Linked DNA regions of Mus musculus. Each later gene encodes a partner of the first gene's protein in a complex. Links are inferred from orthologs where the notes say so. Each region holds a gene or a part of one and is shown in the gene's direction. Other genes may lie near its edges.

The links. The genes of interacting proteins can lie anywhere in the genome.
Region 2: the proteins of Aurka (region 1) and Tacc3 are in contact, whole or in part, in a crystal structure (PDB 5ODT), measured with the Homo sapiens proteins. The link is inferred for Mus musculus from reciprocal best matches to the Homo sapiens genes AURKA and TACC3. Residues at the interface, in NP_001310232.1 of Homo sapiens: Leu130, Phe133, Glu134, Ile135, Gly136, Arg137, Tyr148, Leu149, Ala150, Arg151, Ile158, Val163, Arg205, Tyr207; in NP_001428248.1 of Homo sapiens: Glu523, Ser524, Phe525, Arg526, Pro528, Val531, Leu532, Gly533.

The regions. Positions count from the first base shown.
Region 1 is NC_000068.7:172,367,655-172,372,162, reverse strand, and holds the start of Aurka (aurora kinase A), read left to right. Parts: upstream 1-1,592; 5' UTR 1,593-1,690; exon of another isoform or gene 1,691-1,707; coding exon of another isoform or gene 1,708-1,768; intron 1,769-3,130; coding exon of another isoform or gene 3,131-3,135; coding exon 3,136-3,177; intron 3,178-4,508. UniProt on the Homo sapiens protein: Mitotic serine/threonine kinase that contributes to the regulation of cell cycle progression.
Region 2 is NC_000071.6:33,661,128-33,664,627, forward strand, and holds part of Tacc3 (transforming acidic coiled-coil-containing protein 3), read left to right. Parts: intron 1-94; 5' UTR 95-95; coding exon 96-257; intron 258-393; coding exon 394-518; intron 519-2,693; coding exon 2,694-2,775; intron 2,776-3,139; coding exon 3,140-3,500. UniProt on the Homo sapiens protein: Plays a role in the microtubule-dependent coupling of the nucleus and the centrosome. Involved in the processes that regulate centrosome-mediated interkinetic nuclear migration (INM) of neural progenitors.

The DNA.
Region 1 (4,508 bases):
AACACATTATACTCTTAAGATCTAAGCTCTCCAAACAAAACTGATTTCTTAATCAACCTGGGTGGGTAATTTGATAAGTATGTGTGTGGTTAGATGTTTGACTATAGGAGTCTGGAGACATCAAGCAAGAAGGTAGCCTGGAGAAACAGCCAAGAGTTACAATGCTTGCTGACAGACACCCCGGGCTCAGTTTTAAACCAAATGACTAGCAAGGCCACACAGCATAGTACTGACCAGAGTTCTTAACAATAATAACACCATGCAGGTCCTACTGGCAGATGCGGTGCCAAGCACCTAATTAGCATCCAATCACTAAACGAAGCTATTCAATATATTCGTGTTCATTAGAAAGAAATGGGGGCTGGAAAGATGGCTCAGTGGTTAAGAGCACTGTCTGCTCTTCCAAAGGACCTGGGTTCAATTCCCATGGCGGCTTACAACTGTCTCTAACTCCAGTTCCAAGGGGCCTGCCACCTAGACACCAATGCATGTAAAATAAAGCTAAATAAGTTTTTTTTTAAAAAGAAAGAAATGAATACAAATCTACCCCTGCATAAGATATTGGGACACAACAGAGGGTGAAATGTGTTCTAAGAATCTAGGGCACCCGTTCAAGTTAAGCCCTCCCCTTCCCCTCAAAGTTGAGGGGGAGCCTGCACACTCCAGAGCCCAGAACTTAACCATTTGACCTATCATCTTTACTCCTGTCAGGAAACATCTGGGGTTGTATCACGACATTTAAAGAAAACGGGGGTGGGAGAAGGAGGTTGAGCCTTTACTTAACTCCCCGCTTAACTTCCAATGGGACACAGATAACTTATATCCTTCCCGGAGGGGACACCGAGGCACGAGACCGGAGGAGCTCGCCCCCGGAAAGCTAACACCGGGGAATGCAGGGGGCCCAAAGCGAAGCCGCGCGACCACTTCTGCTCAGGGCGGAATTCCGGCTTGGACCCACCGGGACCGAGGCCCTTTGAGAGCCGGGGTGCAGGCCGGGCCGGCCAACTCTAGGACACGGACTTGGGGCGAGCGGCCTCCTGCCATCCTCTCCGTTAGCCCCGGTCCTTCACGTGATCCACTACAGACCCTAGCCAACCACACTAGCCCGCTTCCTTACGCCCCCTTGACCCCGTACCCGCAGATCAGGGTCTCGGTCTCCCGCTCTCTTCTAGAAAAATGGAGGAGCGAATCGTGCCCGATCGATCGCTCGGAGTGCACACCCAGTGCGCACGTGCAAAGGGCATGCAGCCGAGCGCCGAGCATCCCTGCTCCCTCGCAAGTCTGCCCTTCTCGCCATCTTACTCACTGGCACGTTCGAGACGCTCATTCACCGTCTCCGAACTAATCACCTCCGCGACTGCCTTGAATCCAAAGGGCTGTGTGTGACTGGCGAACGCCTGATCCTGGGGAGCACGGCGGGCGATAGAACGGCCGCAGATCGGACGGGCCGTTGGTGCACCACTTCCGGGCTCCGACAGCTCAGTGCGCCTGCGCCCAGCTACGGCAGGGAACGAGCTTCCCATAGTCGCGTTTACGGTGAGCCAATCACAGAACGGCATTGCTCCGGCTCTAGCCAATCAGCTCTTGGAGTAGAGGGTTTGACTCCTATTTTAAAAGGAGAACCTTTGAATTGTAACGGCTGAGCTACCGGGATCGCTTGGAGGCTTCGGTCGGGAGCAGGTTCCTGCCTGTGAGTTGGAAAGGGACATGGCTGTTGAGGGCGAGCCTGGATGCTGCAAACGGATAGGGAAGGCTGTGTGGCGTCGGGGTAATGGACTGTCTCAGTGGGTTTGCATTCTGTTTAAGAAAGGTCCAGACGTTTAAGATTTCCCGGCTTGGTTTTAGGTTCTTGTGGGAATGGGGATCCAGACCATCAGCTAACCGAGTAATTTGCAAACCGATGGTGGATGCGGGAACTGCGGCTTATTGGGGACTGCTTCGGGTGGAGAATCAGAGTCTAAGTCGACTCGACGAGTCTGTGGATGAACGGGAGTTCCCTCGTAGAGTGCCCAGGACTGGTGCTGCTCTTCCCGCAGCCTTCTGAGCAGTTTATGTCGGGACTACTTGAGGGTCTGTTTCAAAGCGCAGACCCGCTAAAGCTCAGTTTGTAGAATATTCCAGAAGTTTTAGGATTGAACACTGCCTTCGTGGTGGCCGCCGCTGTTTATTCCAACAGTAAGGTGGTGGAGGCAGGATCAAGTCAAAGGTCATCCTCAGCTACACAGTAGGTCCGAAAAACCAGCCTAAATTACATCCACATACGTCCCTACCTCAACACCTCCATCCCCACCACACACACACACACACACACACACACACACACACACACACCTAAATGTGTGGTTGCTTACATCAGCAGTCTGAGGCAGGAGGTTAGCCTTCGATTTAAGGCCAGCCACAGCTAATAAGTGAGAGCCTGTCTGGGGATGTAGTTCAGTTAGTAGGGTGCTTGCCTAGCCAGCCCTGGATTCCATTCCCAGCACTTGGAACCCCGAGGATGGTGATGACCTCTGTGGTCCTAGCACTGCGGAACTGCAGGCGGGAGGATCAGGAGTTCAGAGTAATCCTCCACCGTATAGCATGCTCAAGGCCAGCCTGGGATCCATGGAACTCTTGTCTCTACCACAAACATAAAGGTTAGGTGTGGTCTTGCATTCTTTTAATCCCAGCCTTTTGGAGGCAGAGGGAGGAACTCGGTGAGTTCAAGGCCAGCTTGGTCTACCTACATAATGAGTTCCAGAACAGCCAGGACTACCCAGGGAGACCCTGTCTCAAAAAAAAAATCCAAACCTAACAAACAAATCCTGGCTCCACTGCAAATACAGGAAATAGAAACCTCTTAGGGATAAGACCCTGGTGTAGCTATTATGGGAAAGCTAAACTGCAGGGCTGGTTATTAACCTTGGTCTGGGGCCCAGGAGTGTGAGGTAGCTGCAACTGCAGTCCTTTGCTCAGGGCTTCTGCCTCCTGCCTAGCTTCCCTGATCTGAAAAGGGGAACCCTGTGGCATGTGCAACTTTCTTGTAGTAAATCTTTGAGCTGAGTGAGAACCATCAAGGTCATTTGGTGTAGATCCGAAGGTGAAGGACTTGGACTCCTCCTAAAAGAAAGGCTCTTGTTTCCTTTTTCAGGTGACATGGACAGATGTAAAGAAAACTGTGTCTCCAGGCCTGTTAAGGTACAGAATTACCTGTATTTACAATTTCGGCTTTTAAAAGATTTATTTCTGCCGGGCGTGGTGGCGCATGCCTTTAATCCCAACACTGGGGATGCAAGGAGGCAGAGGCAGGCGGATTTCTGAGTTTGAGGCCAGTCTGGTCTACAGAGTGAGTTCCAGGACAGCCAGGGCTACACAGAGAAACTCTGTCTTGAAAAAAACTAAAAACAAAACAAAACAAAAAGCAAACCCAAAACGAAAACAAACAAAAGATTTCTTTGCTTATTTTATGACTATGAATGTGTCTTCATGCACACTAGAAGAGGGCATTACAGATGGTTATAAGCCACCATGTGGTTGCTGGGAATTGAACTCAGGACCTCTGGAAGAGTAGCCAGTACTCTTCATCGCTGAGCCATCTCTCCAGCCCCCACAATCGGTATTTTTTAAATGATGTGCATTTTGTTTGTGTGCACCTATGCATATGCCACTGTGTAGGTCAGAGAGCAACTTGTCAGAGTGGGTCCAGAGACCCTAACCCAGGTCCTTAGGCTTGGCTGTAAAAGACCTTAGTCCCTGAGCAAATCTGTACAGTGCTCGTGGAATCGAATCCTTTCCTCCGTGGCTTTGGGTAGAAACTTTAGGTTGACCCTGCCTGGAGGCTACCTGAGCCTCTGTTTCTTCAGGAAATGGCTCTGCTGTGGAAACCTCAGACCCTCTGAGCTCATGGTGGATCCTGAGCGCCTCATTTAAGGAGGAGGGAGTGCCAGCGTCTCTGAGTGTGATTAGTTTAGTCTTAAGATCTCGTTAAGACTGACACAACACAGATCATCCCGTGCAGTAGTGATTGTTTTCAAGGCCTCCGTGGTCTTCTTTGTCCTTTTTTTCCTATTGAAAAACATAATTTCTATGCATTTTAGTTTTGGAGATAACATTCTTAAAAAATATTTCTGTTGGGTGGGGCTTGGTGGGCACACCTCTAATCCCAGTATTTAGGAGTCAGTAGTGGGCAGACTGAGATAGAGGCCAGGCTGTTCTATATTGTGAGTCTGGGACTGGCCAGGATTACACAGTGAGACGTGGTCAAATAAGTGCTGTGATAGAAAGACCCAGGGGATGGATGATCTGAGAGAACGGCAATACGCCCTGGAAGCCCAGCATAACCTTAGATTTAGACTGTTTTTTTTTTTTCAAAATTGCTTGAGGATGATTCTATCGTCTTTTCTCCTAAACGTAAAATTGCTGCAAGGATTTGATATAAACTTTCAGTAACAATAAAGTTTGCCTCAGGCGCAGAGGCTGGCCTAGAACTCAGTCAGTGCCCCTCCTGCCTCAGCCTCAGTACTGGATCA
Region 2 (3,500 bases), on another chromosome or scaffold:
ATAGAACATCTCCCTGCTATGCTCACGGGGCATTTCTGTACATACGCTGCAGCATCATTGACTTCCTAGTGACTAAAACATACTGTTTTCCCAGAATGAGTCTGCATGTCTTAAATGACGAAAACGTGCCCAATGAAAAGAGTTCACAGTGCCGTGATTTCCAGTTTTTGCCACCAGAACTTACCGGCAGATCATCTGTTCTTTGTCTGTCACAGAAAGAAAATGTACCACCCCAGAGCCAGGCTAAGGCCACAAATGTAAGTGCGGACTGTACTGTGTATGCTCCTCAGGTACTCTGGGACTGGCTTTCTGAGAGCCTTGCACTGTAGCAGGTTGGCTTGCTTGTGAGGGCGTGTATCATGGAGCATATGCACTCTCCTCGACTTTCACTAGGTGACGTTCCAGACACCACCTCGGGATCCACAGACACACAGGATCTTAAGTCCTAACATGACCAATAAGCGTGAGGCTCCTTTTGGATTACAAAATGACCACTGTGTCTTCTTACAGAAAGAAAAGTAAGTGTGGATGCCTTTCACTGTTCTTCAGTACTGTCTGTCCTCTCTGAGGGTTGTTGCAAAATCTTCCAGTCCTGTCCTATCTAGACTTTCTTCTCTTGATCACTGTCCTTAAGTGTAGTATCTGGCACGGTTGTCAGTTGAGAGTTAATCATCAGCTAGTTGAACTGTTTTAATTCCATCCTTTACTCTTTTGCTATGTTCCTACCTAACCCCAAAGCCCATATAAAAACTACCCAATCCAGTTATTATCATTGTAAGCTGTAAGCCTAGATTGGGCAGATCTAACACTATACAAACTTCTTCTCCAGCTATAAGATCCCTTGTTACTTACAGTTCCTCCTGGCCCAACATGGCTTCTTCCTCCTCCTGTTCCATCTTTTCTCCTTCCCCTCTCATCCTCTCCTCTTCTCTCTTCTCTCTCTCTCTCTCTCTCTCTCTCTCTCTCCCCCCTCCCTCCCTCCCTCCCTCTCTCACCCTATCCCCACTTTCAAACCTCCAGTCCCATCTTTCCCCTCCATTGTCCAGTCGCAGGCTCTAGCCTTTATTGACTAGTTAAAATGGGAGACGGTTCACATGAAATCACCTGAGTACATAATGGGCTGCTTGTCGAGGGCAGCCCCTCTTGAGGAAGCAGAATTACCATCAGAATATAAACAGCACCAGGACAACCCACAGTGCCTACCACCTATTCTTTATTTCTATGACTTGATAGAATGATTAGATCTTATTTCCAGACAAGATTACCTATAGTTTCCTTCCTATTGAGTTTGCTTATCTCTCCCTTCTGCTTAAGATTAGCGTTTGGCACCAAGTGGTGGTGGACACCTTTAATCCCAGCACTCGGGAGACAGAGGCAGGCGGATTTCTGAGTTCGAGGCCAGCCTGGTCTACAAAATGAGTTCTCTATATAGCCAGAGCTATACAGAGAAACCCTGTCTCAAAAAACCAAATAAAACAAAACAAACAAACAAAAATTAGCATTTGGCTTCCTGTGCTCAAAACTTGGAGAGAGCAGATAGACTCATAAACAGAAATTATCATATGAATGATGAGTCAGGGCTTGGGAGATGGCTCCTTTGGTACTGTTGGCTATACAAACGTGAGGGCTTGAGTTCCATCCTCAGTATCTAGATCAAACTCCCCAAGCCAGTACGCAGAAAAGGGGAACACTGTCATCCCAAGAGCAGCTTCTTAATGTGTGTGTGATCTGGAACCTAAATGCCACTTGTTTATGTAGCCAGCATTCTACTTTACTTCAAACTTCAGGACAAACAGATCTCAGGTTAGTCCAAACGAGGCACAGCTTCAGAATCCCTGTCCCAAGACCATGGGAGAGGCACTCTAGAGTTGTTCACAGCATATGTGCACCTTACTAACAGTAAAATGAGTGCAGGTAGTTCCCCAGTAATCCTAGCATTGTGGCTGAGGAAGTCAGATCAAGAATTTGAAGCCAAGCACACGTGGCACACGCCTTTAATCCCAGCACTCGGGAGGCAGAGGCAGGGGGATTTCTGAGTTCGAGGCCAGCCTGGTCTACAAAGTGAGTTCCAGGACAGCCAGGGATACACAGAGAAACCCTGTCTCGAAAAAACCAAAAAAAAAAAAAAAAAAAGAATTTGAAGCCAGATTTCTCTATGTAGTAAGAGCATTTCTTTAAAAACTAAAAATAAAAAAATAAATAACAGGGCTGGTGAGATGGCTCACTAGGTAAGAGCACCCGACTGCTCTTCCAAAGGTCCAGAGTTCAAATCCCAGCAACCACATGGTGGCTCACAACCATCTATAATGAGATCTGACTCCCTCTTCTGGAGTGTCTGAAGACAGCTACAGTGTACTTACATATAATAAATAAATATTTTTAAAAAATAAGTAAATAAAAAATAAATAAATAAATAAACAACAAAAAAACATACGCTACCAATCAGGTGAAAACTGGCTGGTACCACAGCAAGCCATTGTCCTTAGGTACTCCAAGAAGCAGCTGTGACCTGAAACTATGCTAGCATTCCAGCAGCCAGGTACTCTTACCTCCAGAGAAACATCATAATTTTCATGTACCTTCTCAACATGAGCAGTTTTTCAGGTGAATCAGCATAAGAGGGAGGTAACAGAGTTCAGTGCCAGAGCAGGGCACACAGGGAAGACCCAGCTCTGACAACTCTGTCTCTCCAGCCAGCGGCCTTTAGCCCCAGTGGATGATGCACCTGTGGTTCAAATGGCAGCTGAGATCCTAAGAGCAGAAGGCGAGTTACAGGTATGTGTGTACATGGTTAGGCGCTGTCAATATTATTACATATTGTATAGAAAAATAACAGGGTATTGAGGTATAGTGGTGCATACTCTTAATCCTAGCACTTGGAGCGCAAAGGCAGGCAGATTCTGAGTTCTAGGCCAGCCCAGTCTATAGTGAATTCTAGGGCTTCAGAGTGAGACCTTGTCTCAGAAAAATAACATAGTAGAAGAGGCCACCAGCTGTCTTCTAGTAACAGGGTGGGATATAACACTACCGCCATCCCCTAGAGCTGCCTCACTGTCTGGGTTTATTTTAAGGAGAGAGTGGTGGGGCTCTCCCTCACCCAGAACCTCACTCTACAAGGTGATGATGACTTTCTCTCTAGGAGGGAATCTTGACTTCCTCAAGCCTTTCAGCTTCCACAAGTCTTCTGGACAGTGAGCTGGTGACCCCTCCTATCGAGCCAGTGCTGGAGCCTTCCCATCAGGGACTAGAACCTGTCTTGGAAAGTGAGCTGGTGACCCCTCCTGTTGAGCCAGTGCTGGAGCCTTCCCATCAGGAACTAGAACCTGTCTTGGAAAGTGAGCTGGTGACCCCTCCTATTGAGCCAGTGCTGGAGCCTTCCCATCAGGGACTAGAACCTGTCTTGGACAGTGAGCTGGTGACCCCTCCTATTGAGCCAGTGCTGGAGCCTTCCCATCAGGGACTAGAACCTGTCTTAGAAAGTGAGCTGGTGACCCCTCCTA